Kluyveromyces lactis: one gene and its partners. The protein of the gene in region 1 binds, or shares a complex with, the protein of each later gene. Links are inferred from orthologs where the notes say so. Each region holds a gene or a part of one and is shown on either strand. Other genes may lie near its edges.

Region 1 (2,573 bases):
TCAAGTGGTCAAAGTCGTGCTTAATATTTTACACCACTGGTGCTCTTGATAAAATGACAATGGTTGATTTACGTTCAGGCAGACCGAAAACTATGGTATCGACCGATGATCGTAAACGAAATGATTTTGTTAAGAAAAGCACCGATCGGAGCAGTAGAACTCAAAGAGACACACCACAGCGCGGGAAGAGGGATAAAGAGCTGCGCAAACAACCATACAAGAGAGATGCTGATAAATTCAGTGAGAAGTCGTTTGGTCGCTCCAACACAGGGTCTTCTTTTAGAAAGCCAAATGATAGATGGTGATAGATTTAAAAGTTAATTAGCATTCTTACAAGTATATAATGTTCCAATCTTAAAATCAATCAGAGTTCAGCAATATGTATATGATTGTTATCTTTTAGTGTTCGATACGGGTTGGAATTTCTATCCGAAGCAGTATTTACAGGAGGGTTTACATATATATATAGTGATTAAATCATGCCAATACTTTCTGTGTTTGATGATAATATGTTAATTCTCAGCAAGAACATATTGTATACTATTGAAATATCTCTCGTCAACAGCTTTCTTGATTTCATCTTTTGTCAACCATGCAAATTCTTTGATTGACTTTTCATCCTTTAACTTGAATTCACCTGCTATGATATGCGATTTGATCAAAAACTGGAGATCTTTTTCAGATTGTAGAACACCTGCTGGAGTATTCGACACAGTCCATGTATTAATATCTTCTCCGCCGATTTTTCTTAATCCCACTTCAGCGGTCTCATGTAAAGCTTTCTTTCCTTCCTTAGCTTCAATATCAACCGGGAAACTTGGAAGAACCCAGCTTCCCTTGTCATCCTTCACAAGCAAATGCAGAGTTCTGTCCAATTTTCTGTCTAAACTAGTAATATCGTTATTTTCGTCTGCCTTTGTAGTTCTGGAATTAGGAACAATTGGCCTTGAGACATCAGACTTGTTTGAACCTTCTGAAGCCTCTCTTGGTAGCATAATATCTTGCTTTTGACTTCTTTCTCTGTTATGTCTGACGTCTGGCACTCCTTTAGGGAACCATACACCAGGCTGCTTGCTAATCACACCTTTCTGTACAGACTGGAAACGACGCTCTGCCAAAGTACCTTTTTTGAAATAGAAATAAGATGGAAATGTCCACATTAGTCTTCTTTCCAGTTCTGCCTGGTATTGGTAGTACTTGTTCTCTAGTGCATTCAATTCTGGAGTGACGATTGGAACACGAGAAAGTACCAAACCTGCCTTTACTGCCTTGGGAATCGAGCTTGCTGCTGCTTTCACAGACATTTTTATTTATAATTGTGTCGATGAAGAGGGTTGCTGACTGAATATACACGATGATTGACAGCTGGTGAATATGCTTCCCAATTCTGATAAGCGGCACTATTTCAACATGATGCTGATGTTCCAATAATTTTTCAAATTGTTTGAACATCCTCTCATGCCTACTATTCCAAAATTTTTCAATATGAAATAATCGATCACGATATACGGATTTGATAACTTTCCAAGTGGTGTCACTAATAGAACAAAGTAGTGAGTGAATTGCATATGCATAAAGGCTATCAGATACAGAAAATTATTTAAGTGCATTTATATAAGCATTATTTTGGCGTTTGGTTCAAAATATTCATCAATGTGTTTAATTGCGCAGTTGGATCGAAATTTTGTGGGGGTTGAGGAGATTTTTGGCCCGAAGGTTGAGTAGACTGATGCGATTGCTGCTGCTGCTGCTGCTGCGCAGATGATGCCGATCCCAGCAGTTGATTTTGACCATATACCATTGATGGAGGCTGCTGATACAATGGCTGGTTATAATACTGTTGTTGGATTTGAGGAACGTTCGGTATTTGTGATGTTTGAACCGGAGGAGGAGGAGGAGATATATTACTGTAGGGGATAGGTGTTTGAGAGACAGCAGTAGCTTGACCAACTTTACCAGACTTGGGACCCAAAACACCTTTATCAGTTGGCATCTTTTGCGAAATCGCTTTTGATGAAACACCTTCACCAACAATAATATCGGGCTCCTCATAAACCATGTTTGTTTGGATTGGTTGACCACCAGTACCACCCCATTCCGCGGACTGTGACCATTTGAAGTCAATTTCGGTTAGCCTGGCCAATGGGATGATTGAATATCCATATTGATAGTCACAACAGTCTCTAGGACCGAAACCAACGGCCCAACGGATTCTCAAACCATGTGTCGGATTGCCACCACCAGTGAAATGCGCCATGATCCTCTCCGCTTCTGCTCTTGAATAGACTTTCACAAAGGCGTGCTTACGGGCATTATTCAAAATAACACTCTGAACCTCACCGAATTGTCTTAACATTCTTGCAATATCATGTTCTTTGAAATTTTGTGGGACACCACCAACGAAAAGGGTTCTGGAATATACTTTTACGTGGTCCCTTGGCACAGTTGGATCAAAGGATACCGGTTTTGGCCTAAAATGAGGGTTTGAGGGAACATTCTGCTCATCTGGGTACAAATGATGGTTATTTCCTTGTTGACCATTAATTGACTGCTGCTGTTGTTGTTGTTGTTGT
Region 2 (2,379 bases), on another chromosome or scaffold:
GTTGCGAATTCGGAGTACAATTATCACCTACAGTTTAATAATGATCTTGACCAACCGCAGCAAGCTACGCATAATCCACAAATGCTTTGGGATGAACCTCACGGCTTTTTTCAATGAGATTTTAGCAGTGGAAAAAAGTCTTTCATTTAGTACAACACGGATACATACAAGCACTGATGCGCTGACGCGATGTTATTGGTGAACACTCCAAAAAAACCAAAAAAAAAGACATTCTTCATTTGTTCTGGTTTTCGTACCAGTCATACGTCTCCATTTGTCAATTATCATTTTATTTTGTTTTCAATTAAACTTGTTTTATATTCATACCTCTTTCTTTACATTCGTTAATAAGGAAACTATAGAATCGTAGCTTTTAAAGATATCCCTATAGAAATAAAATTTTACATATGCTTAAATCAAAGGGAAGAGGATCATCAAACAGAACGGGAATGACTTTGTACCAAAAATCTGTTCTACGAAAAGGTTTGCCTCTTATTCTTTTTATCAGAAGTGAAAATGTGCGAACAATGCAAACAGACGTAGAATAAAACCATACTGGTATCCTTTCTCCGCTGCTGCGACTGGAAAAACACATTCTCCCTAGAATGACACTTCGGGCACTCTTTATCTGAACGCGGTAGTGTCGGGTCAGACCCTATATCTTGCACCACACCTGCAGTCTCACCAATATTCGTCTTCAATTCATGACGGTAAACCAATGGAGTACCTGCCTCTTCAACGTAGGGACACGTACGACATTCGAATAATAATTTATGTGTCTCTTTATCCTCTCTAGGATATAACATATTATTACAATCACGACAAAATCTGAACGTAGTCATTATGATACACTTTTATCTTTTATCAACTATCTATCGTCTGTCTATTCCTCTCTCTTAACAAAATCCGGTTCTTGGAGTATTTCAATCCAGTGAAACCACTAAAAATTAACCGTTTTTCTCTTAAAAACTACAAGTACACAACAATATGTTGCTTTTAAACCACAAAACAAACAACTTTGACCCCACTTAAACCAGAGTCACTTCTTATACACTCTTATTCCTATCAAAACCATGGCTCAAATTCTGGATCCTTTCCTAGTTCTCAATCGAAGCTTTTCAAATGTCGAAAAGTGTTAGCAGCATCTATCACTCCGTACGATTATCATCTGTTAGCTGAAAAATTTTGGGAAAAAAGCTTTAAACCTAAAGACAATTCCATTGAACAATCGAAACAGGTTAAACAGATTGTGGAGTTGTACTGTTGACATTCACGATTAGTTCTCCATCTTGAATCTAACCGAGAACAGCAGTTTTTATCACAGGTGGGTTTGGGAATAATATAAAAGAAAAAATGTTGCGTCAAGTGGTAAGATCATCCGGCGTTTTTGCAAGGAACAGTTGTAGATTAGGTTTGGTTCGTTATCAATCGACTGCTGGTACATCTACTCCAGCTGCTGCGGTTGATCCAAAGATTTCTCAAATCGTTCAAGATATCTCCAAATTGACTTTATTGGAAACTTCTGCTTTGATTCAAGAATTGAAGACTCAATTGAACATCCCAGATATTTCGTTCCCAGCAGCTGGTGCTGGTTCAGCTGCCCCAGCTGCTCCAGCTGAAGAAGCCAAGGAAGAAGAAGTCGTTGAAGAGAAGACTATTTTCTCCATCAAGTTAGAATCGTTTGATGCCAAGTCTAAGCCTAAGATCATCAAAGAAGTTAAGAACTTGTTAGGTTTGTCATTGGTTGAAGCTAAGAAGTTTGTGGAAAGTGCTCCAAAGGTTTTGAAGGAAAACGTCGCTAAGGAAGACGCTGACAAGGTTAAGGCTGCATTGGAAGGGCTAGGTGCCAAGATTGTCTTGGAATAGACAGATACGTCGAACACCTCACGCATGTAAATTCCCCATGTCAAAACGAGTTCTCTTCTCATTTTCCTGTACATAATAATAACCAAAAATATATTAATATAAACTCTTAAGATTAAGATATATATATATAAACGCAATCCGACCGACATAACAAAGTAAAAAGAAGAGGTAGTTTCACGAACGATCCGTTCAAAAATGAATCGATTATGAGTTATGTTTTTCTTTGAAGATTTCGTTAGAAATCTAAAAAGTATTGGCCGTATGGATCTTCGCCCTGAACGCCATAGTCCAGTTGCTCTTCCGGATATTGGTCGAACAAAGAGGAATCACCGACACCGACAGCGATTGGTGGCTCGTACGGCGTCTCGATGTCCTTTGCCACAAGCTTTTCCCATATAACTTCCGCAAACCATGGATGCGATTTGATATCATCTGGCCCGCTTTGTAAGTTACCTAATCTACGGGTCAAATCTGCAGTGATCAACTTACCTAATAGATCCACAACATCAGGGT
Region 3 (2,321 bases), on another chromosome or scaffold:
GGGTTCTTATTACAGCAATTTATCAAAGAGCGTGAAGCGCAGCAGAAGGAAGTCGAGAATAGCTCTAAGCAAAATAATAAATCTGGCAGTGCTAATACCAATAATGCTACTGCCGACGAAGGTAAGAATGTCAAGGATAAACCAATACTAGCAGAGTGGGAGAAATCACCTAATTTGCACATCTTCAATATAATGTACGATTTAACACCCCCTGACTACATCAAGAAGATCATTACAGAATTTGGTTCGTTGCCACCATCTTCTGTTCCCGTGGTTCTTAGAGAATACAAAGCATCAGCTTGAATGGAGCCCTTTGCATATATAATATACGATAATATCATATAATATAGTAAATGAAAAATTAGTATAGATCTTCTTTTTTATTAATTGCGTAGTAATATTCAACATCGTAGGTTGTTTACTTAGGTATCGGCTTCATCGAGGATATTGCTATATATATGTACAAGTTAAGCTATGATCTCGATATTACCATTCACAAGTCATTTTTTCGATTCAAACCTTGTGTCTGATGGCTGGGCTTAAATGTAGTGGAGACCAGATACCTCTCACACTATCGTTCAAAGTATCCACATTGTCGTTCTTAGTTCTGTGACGGAGTTGCTCACCAGATGCGTCTCTGATTAGTTTTAACTTATTCTCTACATTATCAATGTTCAGATTTTTTACGCAGATGGCTTTATTACGGCCATTAACATAGTCACCTTTTATAACTGGATGGCCAGACTTTCTTACTATTTCGAACTGTATTGTTGGATATTTTTCAGCCCATTGAATCATTCTGTTAGACGTTAGGAAATCTCTCAAACCCTGTGAGGAACCACCCCAATTACAGTATTGCAAAGTGATCTTTTTACATGGAAGCACAAAAGCGCCAACACCATTTCTTGCGATAGAAGTTTGTCTCAAAACTTTAACAACCATTACTTCAGAGAAATCTTTATGACCGCGGGTACCAGCTCTGATTAGAAAACAAGTTGGGTGTATTTTGAAACTGTGGAGAGATCCTTCAGATGCAGAACATAGATTCACTAATATATCTTTTGAGTTTTATTCGAGTTTTCAGTTCATGATTATTTTTTTCCAATTTCAAAAGACCATCAGTCACGTGAACAAATCTGTATGTATTCGAAGGTAGGAGGACAATTCACCACATGCTCACACAAATGAAAAAGATACTGGTACCAACACTGCTATAAGGTGACGAATGTAAATAATACAGAACCTCTTTCCGACTATATTCTGTTTCTTTCACATTGCTATGTCAACACATCCTCATGAGATGTCATACGTCATGTAAACTTGATGATCTGTCGATGGGTTATGACAATAATGCACTACCAGCGTTTGGTTAAGGGTACTTTTACTGAGCAAATCCATAGAAAGTACGATAGAGGCCCCAGATTCTGATCCAAGATGTCCCAAAGGCTTCATATGAGGTTAATTAAATAAAGGGCCTGATTTGCGTTCACCCATGGAATGTACGGATTGACACCTAGCGTATGTTGGATGCACACTAGTAATTTGTTAAAAAAATTATGCACATGCGTCATTTAAACCAATTAACTGGGCACTCCCTATTAAGTGTGATGTAAGTGTATGACACTTTGTTCAAGAACAGGCAAATGTATTGCCATAATAGTCACCAGTTTATCATTATGGTGCGTATAATGTCCCTATAACTATTGAAAAATTAAAGTTCTATGCGTTTTTTTAAGGATGCGTATAACGATGACCACCCCTAAAAAACATTCACTTGTAAGTAGCGAACAGTCAAGGTTTGTATCCGTTTCTTTAATTTATTACGGCGTTCACTGAAGCGTTTCAACGATGCAGTATAAAATGCGACAAAAAAATTTAGGGAAAAAAGCAGAAGAATACCATACTAATTAACTGGAACTTGGTAATTCATCAACGGTAAATACTTATAAGGTGTTAAGAGTTTATTAGCGTGTCCAAAGTAACATTTGTATTATATAAGAAGGGCAGCAAATGGCACTTTTTTACTACCATTTTCATACCTTTTACTTGCACCTTTATTTCATGTCATTGAAGAATTCTTAATATACATAGTTTTCCTTCAGATTAATTAAAGATTGAACACCCTCGAACAACAACCTAACTTTACTACGCTCATTAAAAACGATTATAACGCTAAACTTGGTTCCCTACCCATACATACCTTTTGAAATTATTTTCTCTGTCACTAAACAAGAAAGTTTCAAAACGTCAGTTTTCAGAAGCTTCAATACCTCGCTACAGAAAAATAAAATCATTCATTGGATCCAACTTTACGTCTATCC

Evidence for each region. Proteins that work in one complex are often made in the same cells at the same time.
Region 2: MRPL17 (region 1) and MNP1 share a complex: the UniProt entries of both Saccharomyces cerevisiae proteins name them as parts of the mitochondrial large ribosomal subunit. The link is inferred for Kluyveromyces lactis from reciprocal best matches to the Saccharomyces cerevisiae genes MRPL17 and MNP1.
Region 3: MRPL17 (region 1) and MRPL51 share a complex: the UniProt entries of both Saccharomyces cerevisiae proteins name them as parts of the mitochondrial large ribosomal subunit. The link is inferred for Kluyveromyces lactis from reciprocal best matches to the Saccharomyces cerevisiae genes MRPL17 and MRPL51.

The regions. Positions count from the first base shown.
Region 1 is NC_006039.1:256,981-259,553, forward strand, and holds MRPL17 (mitochondrial 54S ribosomal protein mL46), read right to left. Parts: upstream 1,305-2,573; coding exon 513-1,304; downstream 1-512. Other genes in the region: TEX1 (Tex1p), read left to right, coding at 1-305; Nrd1 complex RNA-binding subunit, read right to left, coding at 1,622-2,573. UniProt on the Saccharomyces cerevisiae protein: Component of the mitochondrial ribosome (mitoribosome), a dedicated translation machinery responsible for the synthesis of mitochondrial genome-encoded proteins, including at least some of the essential transmembrane subunits of the mitochondrial respiratory chain.
Region 2 is NC_006040.1:268,774-271,152, reverse strand, and holds MNP1 (mitochondrial 54S ribosomal protein bL12m), read left to right. Parts: upstream 1-1,353; coding exon 1,354-1,866; downstream 1,867-2,379. Other genes in the region: KLLA0_D03256g (uncharacterized protein), read left to right, coding at 1-117; DNA-directed RNA polymerase II core subunit RPB9, read right to left, coding at 474-842; cAMP-dependent protein kinase catalytic subunit TPK2, read right to left, coding at 2,102-2,379. UniProt on the Saccharomyces cerevisiae protein: Component of the mitochondrial ribosome (mitoribosome), a dedicated translation machinery responsible for the synthesis of mitochondrial genome-encoded proteins, including at least some of the essential transmembrane subunits of the mitochondrial respiratory chain.
Region 3 is NC_006042.1:776,631-778,951, forward strand, and holds MRPL51 (mitochondrial 54S ribosomal protein mL43), read right to left. Parts: upstream 943-2,321; coding exon 514-942; downstream 1-513. Other genes in the region: GCD2 (translation initiation factor eIF2B subunit delta), read left to right, coding at 1-303. UniProt on the Saccharomyces cerevisiae protein: Component of the mitochondrial ribosome (mitoribosome), a dedicated translation machinery responsible for the synthesis of mitochondrial genome-encoded proteins, including at least some of the essential transmembrane subunits of the mitochondrial respiratory chain.